2 linked regions of the Oryctolagus cuniculus genome follow. The protein of the gene in region 2 purifies or fractionates together with the protein of the main gene of each other region. This does not show direct contact. Links are inferred from orthologs where the notes say so. Each region holds a gene or a part of one and is shown on either strand. Other genes may lie near its edges.

Region 1 (4,583 bases), on a different chromosome or scaffold from region 2:
CCCCTTCCCCCTCCCCGCCCCAGGCCTGAGTCCTCCTGCTGAGAACATGCTGAGCCCCGAGACGTGGCAAGCTCCAGACGGCCAGGGGCTCCCAAAATGGCCCTGACCGGCTTGTGCTAAGTGATTTAACGTTCACTGTGCTGCTTCCATCACAACAGGGGAGGCGGGCCTCGGGCTCAGTGAGTGTGAGTCTCATGCCAGGGTCAATAAGACAATGAGCAGCCAGCGCTTGTGCGTAGCGGGTAAAGCTGCCACCTGCAGTGCCAGCATCCCACAGGGGTGATGGTTCGAGTCCTGGCTACTCCACTTCCGATCCAGCTCCCTGCTAATGCACCTGGGAAAGCAGTGGAAGATGGCCCAAGTCCTTGGGCTCCTACACCAGTGTGGGAGACCAGGAAGAAGCACTTGGCTCCTGGTTTCCGATTGGTGCAGCTCTGACCGTTGCGGCAAGGAACTCCCGGCAAAGATTTATCTCTGCCAAGAGAGTTGCAGGGATGAACGGGAGCCAGTTCCACACCCCATCCCTCCCCGTGGAGTCCACAAGGTCCTCTGTCATTTGGCGCCATGCAGAAGTAGGAGAGGTGCTGGCTTCTACTGTTTTAAATTCTGGAGAGAACCGAGCAGGAGTCTCGCCTAATGGCTAAGACGTCTACAAGCCACATCGAGCAGCTGGGTTTGATTTCCGGCTCTGGCTCCCAATTTCAGCTTCGTGGTAATGCAGACCTTGGGATGCAGCAGGGGGAGACTTGGAATGGAGTTCCCAGCTTTTAGCTCCAGCACTGGCTACTGTCAGAGTTACGGGGGGTGGGGGTGGGAGACAGAGAGAAAGAGGGATCTTCCATCCACTGGTTCACTCCCCAGATGGCCACAATGGCCAGTGCTGAGCCAGGAGCTTCATCCAGGCCTCCTATATGGATGGCAAGGATCCAAACACTTGGGCCATCTTCCACTGTTCTTCCCAGGCCATGAGCAGGGAGTTGAATCGGAAGTGGAAAAGCTGGGACACGAACCAGCGCTCACATGCCTGGATTTCAAGCTAGAAACTGAGATCCATTGTCTTGAAGGGGTAACAAGATAATAATGTACTCTAACATAATTTTAACAAGACTTTAAAAAAAAGATTTATTTATTTATTTGAAAGGCAGAGCGACACAGAGAGAGGGAGGGGCAGACAGAAATCTTCCATGCACTGGTTCACTCCCCAAATGCCCTCAACCCAGGCTAAAGCCAGGAGCGAGAAACTCCACCTTCCACTTTGGTGGCAGGGACCCAAACGCCTGGGCCAACACCTGCTGTTTCCCAGGTGCATTAGCAGGGAAGTGTATGGGAAGTGGAGCAGCTATGCAGCTACCGTATGAAGCAGCACTCTGATATGGGATGTAGGCATCCCCCCTTGCCACAATGCCAGCCCCCTCAACTATACTGCATTGCCAAACTGCGAGCCCCCCTGGGCTGGCACTGTGGCGTAGTGGGTTAATCCTCTGCCTTTGGTGCCGGCATCCCATGTGGGTGCTGGTTCAAGTCCTGGCTGCTCCACTTCTGATCCAGCTCTCTGCTAATGTGCCTGGGAAAGCAGTACAAGATGGCCCAAGTCCTTGGGTCCCTGCACCTGCGTGGGAGACCTGGAGGAAGCTCCTGGCTCCTGGTTTTGGACTGGGCCAGCTCTGGCCGTTGCAGCCATTTGGGGAGTGAACCAGTGGACAGAAGACCTTTCTCCCTGTCTCTCCCTCTTTCTGTCTGTAACTCTGCCACTCAAATAAATCTTTAAGCAAAAAACTGCAAGCCCCTTACGATCAAATTTCTGCCCGACCAGTGCCTAATTACTGTGACGTGTCTGTTTCCTACCTGCTCTTTGTGCTCAAGGAACGCAGTTTCGAGTTCTTGCCACCCAGAGACCGGGACCAGCGTGTACTGCACGTGATCGCACTGGAACAGGGCCTGCAGAGAGAGGGGAAAGGGGGGCTTTCAAAGCTTGTCTCGCTCAGGATGGCCACCGTTTCCCTCCAAACGCGCTGCCACAAGACTAGATGGGCTGAGACACCAAGGGTGTGGCCATCAGGTAGGCAAAGCTTTAATGGGAGGAGCCATGGGGGGGGGGGGTATGAGCTTTCTAGCAACCGGGTTGAATTTCCGGGAAAAAAAAAATTTGTTTCTTCAAAGTCAAAACTTGGAGGAGAAAAGTTGATCCTGCTTCTGGGTCTCCTGAGAGGGGCTGACCCAAGCTCAGTGACAACCGCGCCATATTCGAATATTGAGCTAAGGATCTTCCCTCTGAGACCGGGGCCCTTGCGCTCCCAGCCCCTCTGACGTCACCACCAACGCCCTCAGGCCACTGCAGGCTCCAGCGTCTTCCAGACGCAACCATCTGCTAGGGTACTGCCACAATAAGGACCCCTCGGAGCCGCCCTCCTCTCCGACCCCCGGCTCCCGCCCTCCCAGGGTCCGCGGGGCTCACCTGGAGGATCTTGCAAGCGCACAGGGCGTCCACGTCCGAGGCTACGAAGAGAAGGACCCTCTGCCGGGGGTTGGGAGGAGGGAGAAGGCAGGCTGAGCGCGGGGATCGGACCCCGCCACCCCCCACCCTCCCGGCCACCCACGACCCGCTCCTTCCCAGCCCTTCCTCCCCTGACGAGGCCCCGGCTGAGACCCGGACTGAAAGTCACCTGGCTCTGGACCAGCTCATAGAACTCCCTGCGAAAGTCGGACACAAACATAGCCACGGCCGCTGGGCACCCTGAGCTCGGGTGAGCTGCGGAGAGCCCCGCCTTCAGTCAAGACTCCCGCCAAATCGCGGCTCCTCCGATTGGCTCAAATCCTTCAACCAATTGCTATCTGGTTCCCAGCTCTTCTTCGTTCTGATTGGTCAGTATTGGGGGCGGGCACTAGCGCTCCGAGTTCACGACTGGAGAAGGCCGGCCCACTCTCCCAACCCCACAAAGCGGCAGTCAACTCTGAAGCAGGGCTCTGAGGCAAACACAGTGGTCCCCTCCATTTACCCAGAAACCCCGACGCTTAGTGGACATCTTTACTGTGGGCAGAGAAGCCTACCGTCTCCCACTGGGAACTCCAGGAAAAATTTACCTCTAGTCATGAGTGAACTTCAGTTACACATCCCGGAGGCCGGCAGTTATGTTTACAGTAGGATATGAATTCAGATTGAAGGCGGACGTGTGGGTTACTTCCGCCCGAATCAAGCATGGCTGAAATCTAGCTGCATTCTGGGTAGTGTAGTCAGTAAGCAGAATGGGCCCTACCAAATTCGTCTGGAGGGGAGTCCTGTCAAAACTTCCTTTTGAAAGCTTTAAAACTGTCTGTAGGAGAAGACACACGCCAGTAAAGGGCATTTTACTATTGACTTGTAGGAAGTTTAACCTCCCAGCGCTTTTCCCTGGCTTTTCCCCGTTGGCAGCAGACGCCAGGCCTCGGTACGTCCCCCGCTCCGGGTCTCAGGTCCGGCGCTTCCGGTAGGCCTCCCAGGGCGTCCCGGCTTCAGGGAGGTGGCGGCGGCGGCTACTGTCTGCTGAGCCGTCGGCGGGCTTCCATCGTAAGGTGGTGTGGGAGCAGCGGCGCCTGCAAAGCGGTGTTCATCATGGTAAGCAAGCGGCCGGTACCTGGAGCCCGAGGCCAGGCCCGGAACCGGGGCCTGGCGGGGAAGGGACGGGGCGGGCGCGGAGATGCCGAGTCACCCGGGCCGCAGCCTGGGGCGCTCGGGTCACCAGCCGGACCCGTGACCACGAACCACCTGTGTCGCGGTCACGGCCCGCATTCTGGCCCGCTTGGACATGACCTCATCTCCTAGATTTTTTTTTATTTATTAAAGATGTATTGATTTATTTGAAAGACAGAGCCACAGAGAGGCAGAGAGAGAGGGATTCCATCCGCTGGTTCACTCCCCAATTGGCCGCAACGGCCACACCTGAGCTGACCGGAAGCCAGGAGTCAGAGCTTTTACCAGGTCTCCCACGCAGGTGCAGGGGCCCAAGGACTTGGGCCATCTTCCACTGCTCTCCCAGGCCACAGCAGGGAGCTGGGTCGGAAGTGGAGCAGCTGGGACTCAAACCAGAGCCCAGATGGGATGCCGGCACTGCAGGCGGAGGATTAGCCTAGTGAGCCACGGCGCCAGCCCCGGGTTTTCAAGATTTTTAAAATTTATTATTTAAGAGGCAGGGTTGCAGACAGAGAGAGGGAGAGACAGCACCTTAGTCCACCAGGATTTCAGCGTGGTGCGTTGTCGTTGACATATGTCCCCCCCTGCTGAAGCAATGTCCCCGTCGTCCCGTCCTAACACCCGCTCCTCTTTCCTCCTAGTTCTCCTTCAACATGTTCGACCACCCGATCCCCCGCGTCTTCCAGAACCGCTTTTCCACGCAGTACCGCTGCTTCTCCGTGTCCATGCTAGCCGGGCCTAATGACAGGTCAGATGTGGAGAAAGGAGGGAAGAGTATGTGCTGTTTCTCTTTTGAATATATAGTTCACCTCTCCTGCCCTTGAGTCTCCTGCCGTCCCTACCCTGCGAGCGGGAAGCAGAGCTGTCACGGTGAAGCTCGCTTGGCCCAGACGTGGCTCGGTGGGGGTGGGTCTCC
Region 2 (3,790 bases):
AGCCATCATTTGGCACCTCTGAGGGTACACACTGCAGGAAGGTGAATCAGAAACAGAGTAGCTGAGATGAGACTTGAACCAGACACTGATCCGGAATGTGGCTGTCCCAGGTGGTACTTAACCACTTAACCACATGTTTGCCTCTATGGTTATGTTTTAATTGCATTTTTCACGAACTTTTTGAAGTCCACTTATATATGTGTGTGTGAGCGTGTGAGATCGCTGTTGCTTTTCTTCATGACATAGTGTAAGTGGATAGAGGAAGGATATTTTAGAAAGCGTGATCTGAGGAAGTGTGTGTAAGTAAATCTGAAGTGGGGGTGAAGACCTGGGAGAACAGTATTCCCTACTATGGGAACAAGAAGAGCAAACCTTCTAAGTGAAGTCATGTTTAGCTTGTTCCAGGCTTAGCAAGAAAGAAGAAGTTACTGTAATGAAGCAAGCAAAGATGAGGTAGGAGGAAAGGACAAGGAGCCAGATTTTATGGTCTTATAGGCCATAGTGAGAAATGTGGATTTTATTTGGACTATAACAGGAAGCCATTAAAGAACTCTGAGCATACTTACATGACCATGGTATTTTAAAAAAATTAATAGTTGCTGTGTACAGACTCATAGAATGGCAGATGCCCTAAACAGTACTCTGGCCTCAGAATCAGCTCTTAAGGCATTCAGATCTGGCTAAAAAGCCCATAAGAGTTTCTGAGGCGCGGAAAGCCAAGACACTGTGACAAAAATGACGTAAATGAAAGATCTCTGTGAGTGAGATCCCAGCGGAAAGAATGGGCCATCAAAGAAGGAGGAACCTTTCTCTGAAGGGAGGAGAGAACTTCCACTTTGAATATGGCCTTGTCTAAATAAGATCGGAGTTGGTAAACTCAACAGGCTTCCATGGCCTTGGCAGCTCATGACAAGAGCCTCAGATGATTACTGACGTCATAAATAAGAGTGTCAGTTGTTAAATCAACAACAGGAGTCACTGTGCACCTGCTCCCCATGTAGGATTTCTGTCCTTAATGTGTTGTACTGTGTGAATTAACGGTAAAACTACCACTCAAACAGTATGTAAAACTACAACTCAAACAGTACTCTATACTTTGTGTGTCTGTGTGGGTGCAGTCTGTTGAAATCTTTATTAGTATATACCAAGTTGATCTTCTGTATATAAAGATAATTGAAAATGAAAAAAGATAGTTGCTGTGTAGAGAATAGATTTAGGGCAAGGGAAGAGGGAGACCCTTTGAAGGCTTCTGTGGAGATCTAAGTGAGAGAGAATGGTAGCTTTCAATAGAGAAAAGGCTGGATTGGTGGTGAATGTTGAAGAGAGTTGAGAAGACTTAAATACAGAGAAATAATTTTAGGTATGTTCTTACTTTGTTTTTCTTTCAGTCAATGAAAGAATTTCAATCAGAAGAATATCTTCAGGTTATTACAGAGGAAGAGGCGTTGAAGATAAAAGAGAATGATAGATCACTTTATATCTGTGACCCTTTCAGTGGTATTGTCTTTGATCACCTTAAAAAGGTTTGTTAACTTACAGTGTGTTCTTAGTCTGTTTTTTGGTTTACTTTTGCTTCAGGGGATATAAATTTACTGATCATTAAGTATTATGCAAATTATAAATACATTGGGATTCTTTTGGTTTAGGGAGAACAGAGTAAAATTTTTTAAAGATAATATATTACAGTAGGATTTTATTGTATGTAGTTTCTGTATTTTAGGGTGTTATAACTCTACTTTGTGTAAGTGAACCTGTAATAATGAAGCATTTTAGTGATAGAGTTGACTGTACATACATTCAGTTTGATTGCAGGATATTTCAGAGAGAAATAATAAGGGAAAGACCTCAACATAGTGCATGGTAACTTAAGTCTTTCCTGTTGTACATGGAGCTTTAGTGTCTGTATCTTGGATAGGGTCTGAGAAATTGTATCCTAGAAGGAAACATTTTGGAGATCAGTATTATAGATATACCAGTAAGCCATCTTTTTGTTGATTCCAGAGTCTACTGACTCATTTTTTCTTTCTTTCTTTCTTTTTTTTGGGGGACAGGCAGATTTAGACAGTGAGAGAGAGACAGAGAGAAAGGTCTTCCTTCCGTTGGTTCACCCCCCCCAAAATGGCCGCTACGGCAATGCGCCGATCCAAAGCCAGGAGCCAGATGCTTCCTCCTGGTCTCCCATGCGGGTGCAGGGCCCAAGCACTTGGGCCATCCTCCACTGCCCTCCCGGGCCACAGCAGAGAGCTGGACTGGAAGAGGAGCAACCGGGACAGAATCTGGTGCCCCAACCGGGACTAGACCCCGGTGTGCCGGCGCCACAGGTGGAGGATTAGCCTAGAGAGCTGTGGCGCTGGCCTCATTTTTTCTTAATATCTGGAAAAGAGAGAAGCATTGAAATAAAAGTAAACTGGCTTTAATTTCATCCAGGTTACAAAGAAGTGATTCTTGGTGTAAGAAGAAGAAAACATAGAAGTAAAGATAGATGCAATATCTGTGAAGTCTGCATCTACCTTGCCAAGGTTATTGGTGATCTTACTTCCTCCTGGAAATATAATTGCTTGCCAGAATTAATAGCATCTAAAAAGTCATTGTCTTCTAGCTGATCAAAAAGATAGTGATAATCTTTATCTGTCAATATTTAAATAAGTCATGCAGTGGTAACTGGCAGCTGTGGGCTTTTTAGTCTGACTTAAGTATGTTGATGTTGAGCGTCACCTTTTGTAACTATCAATGAAAATGAGAAGTCATATTTTTGTGTTCAACCTGCAATATCTTAGAAGTCCCTGTAGATCTTTCTTGGAAAAACATTGAGATGCAGTATTTAAAGCTCAAATGTGGAAATTGCCTCTGATTTTTGGTGATGTGATGGATGTTTTGGGGGGGTTACTTTTGTAGAGTCCTTTTTTTTTTTTTTTTTTTTTTTTTTTTTTTTTTTTTTTTTTATTTGGAAAGAGTTACAGAGAGAAAGGGAGAAACCACGAGAGAGAGCATCCATCTGCTCGTTCACTCCCCAGATAGCCACAACAGCCAGCTCTGGGCTAGGCTGAAGCCAGGAGCTTCATCCTGGTCTCCCATGTTTGTGGCAGAGGCCCAAACACTTGGGCCGTCTTCCACTGCTTTTTCCAGGACATTAGCAGGGTGCAGGATCACAAGTGGAACAATTGGTACACCAACCAGTGCCCAGATGGGATGCCAGTGTCACAGGCAGTAGTGTTCCCCACTACACCACAACTCTGGCTCCAGCGTAAGGGTCTTCTGCTTTCAAACTGTTTCATTGGTGGGGTGCTCTGTACATGAGAGTATTTCCTGATTGATATAGCGTAAGTACTTCATTAAGATCATGTTGATTCCAGAGATGAAAGTTTTGAGGCGTTCTAGGAGCTTATTTGATAGTGTAAATTGTTTCATTTGCTTTTGGGTGTGCATGTGTAATGTACAGTGTGTCTGAGAAATTATAATGATTGTTACTTTTTTCTTAGAATAATTGTTCCATTTTTCTGCAGTACTCATCAACTCAGTAAAGAATTGGTAAACAGTACAAAGTGTAATTTTGTAAGACTGGTGGTCTTTTCCTTGCTAATTTTCCAAAATACTTTCTTTTTTGTAGCTTGGTTGCAGAATTGTTGGTCCTCAAGTGGTCATATTTTGTATGCAACACCAGCGATGTGTCCCAAGGGCTGAACATCCAGTTTATAATATGGTTATGTCTGATGTAACTATATCTTGTACAAGCCTGGAAAAAGATAAAAGGGTAGGTGTTAGGAATATCATGATCTGTTTATTATCATAC

The links.
Region 1: the proteins of TOPBP1 (region 2) and CDC45 purify together in Homo sapiens (affinity purification with western blotting; 3 studies listed by BioGRID and IntAct, with this or other methods). This does not show direct contact. The link is inferred for Oryctolagus cuniculus from reciprocal best matches to the Homo sapiens genes TOPBP1 and CDC45.

What each region holds. Positions count from the first base shown.
Region 1 is NC_091452.1:27,305,408-27,309,990, reverse strand, and holds the start of CDC45 (cell division control protein 45 homolog), read right to left. Parts: upstream 2,991-4,583; 5' UTR 2,715-2,990; coding exon 2,664-2,714; intron 2,516-2,663; coding exon 2,456-2,515; intron 1,939-2,455; coding exon 1,846-1,938; intron 1-1,845. Other genes in the region: UFD1 (ubiquitin recognition factor in ER-associated degradation protein 1), read left to right, coding at 3,590-3,592, 4,309-4,441. UniProt on the Homo sapiens protein: Required for initiation of chromosomal DNA replication. Core component of CDC45-MCM-GINS (CMG) helicase, the molecular machine that unwinds template DNA during replication, and around which the replisome is built.
Region 2 is NC_091435.1:175,327,856-175,331,645, reverse strand, and holds part of TOPBP1 (DNA topoisomerase 2-binding protein 1), read left to right. Parts: intron 1-1,388; coding exon 1,389-1,523; intron 1,524-3,607; coding exon 3,608-3,751; intron 3,752-3,790. UniProt on the Homo sapiens protein: Scaffold protein that acts as a key protein-protein adapter in DNA replication and DNA repair. Composed of multiple BRCT domains, which specifically recognize and bind phosphorylated proteins, bringing proteins together into functional combinations.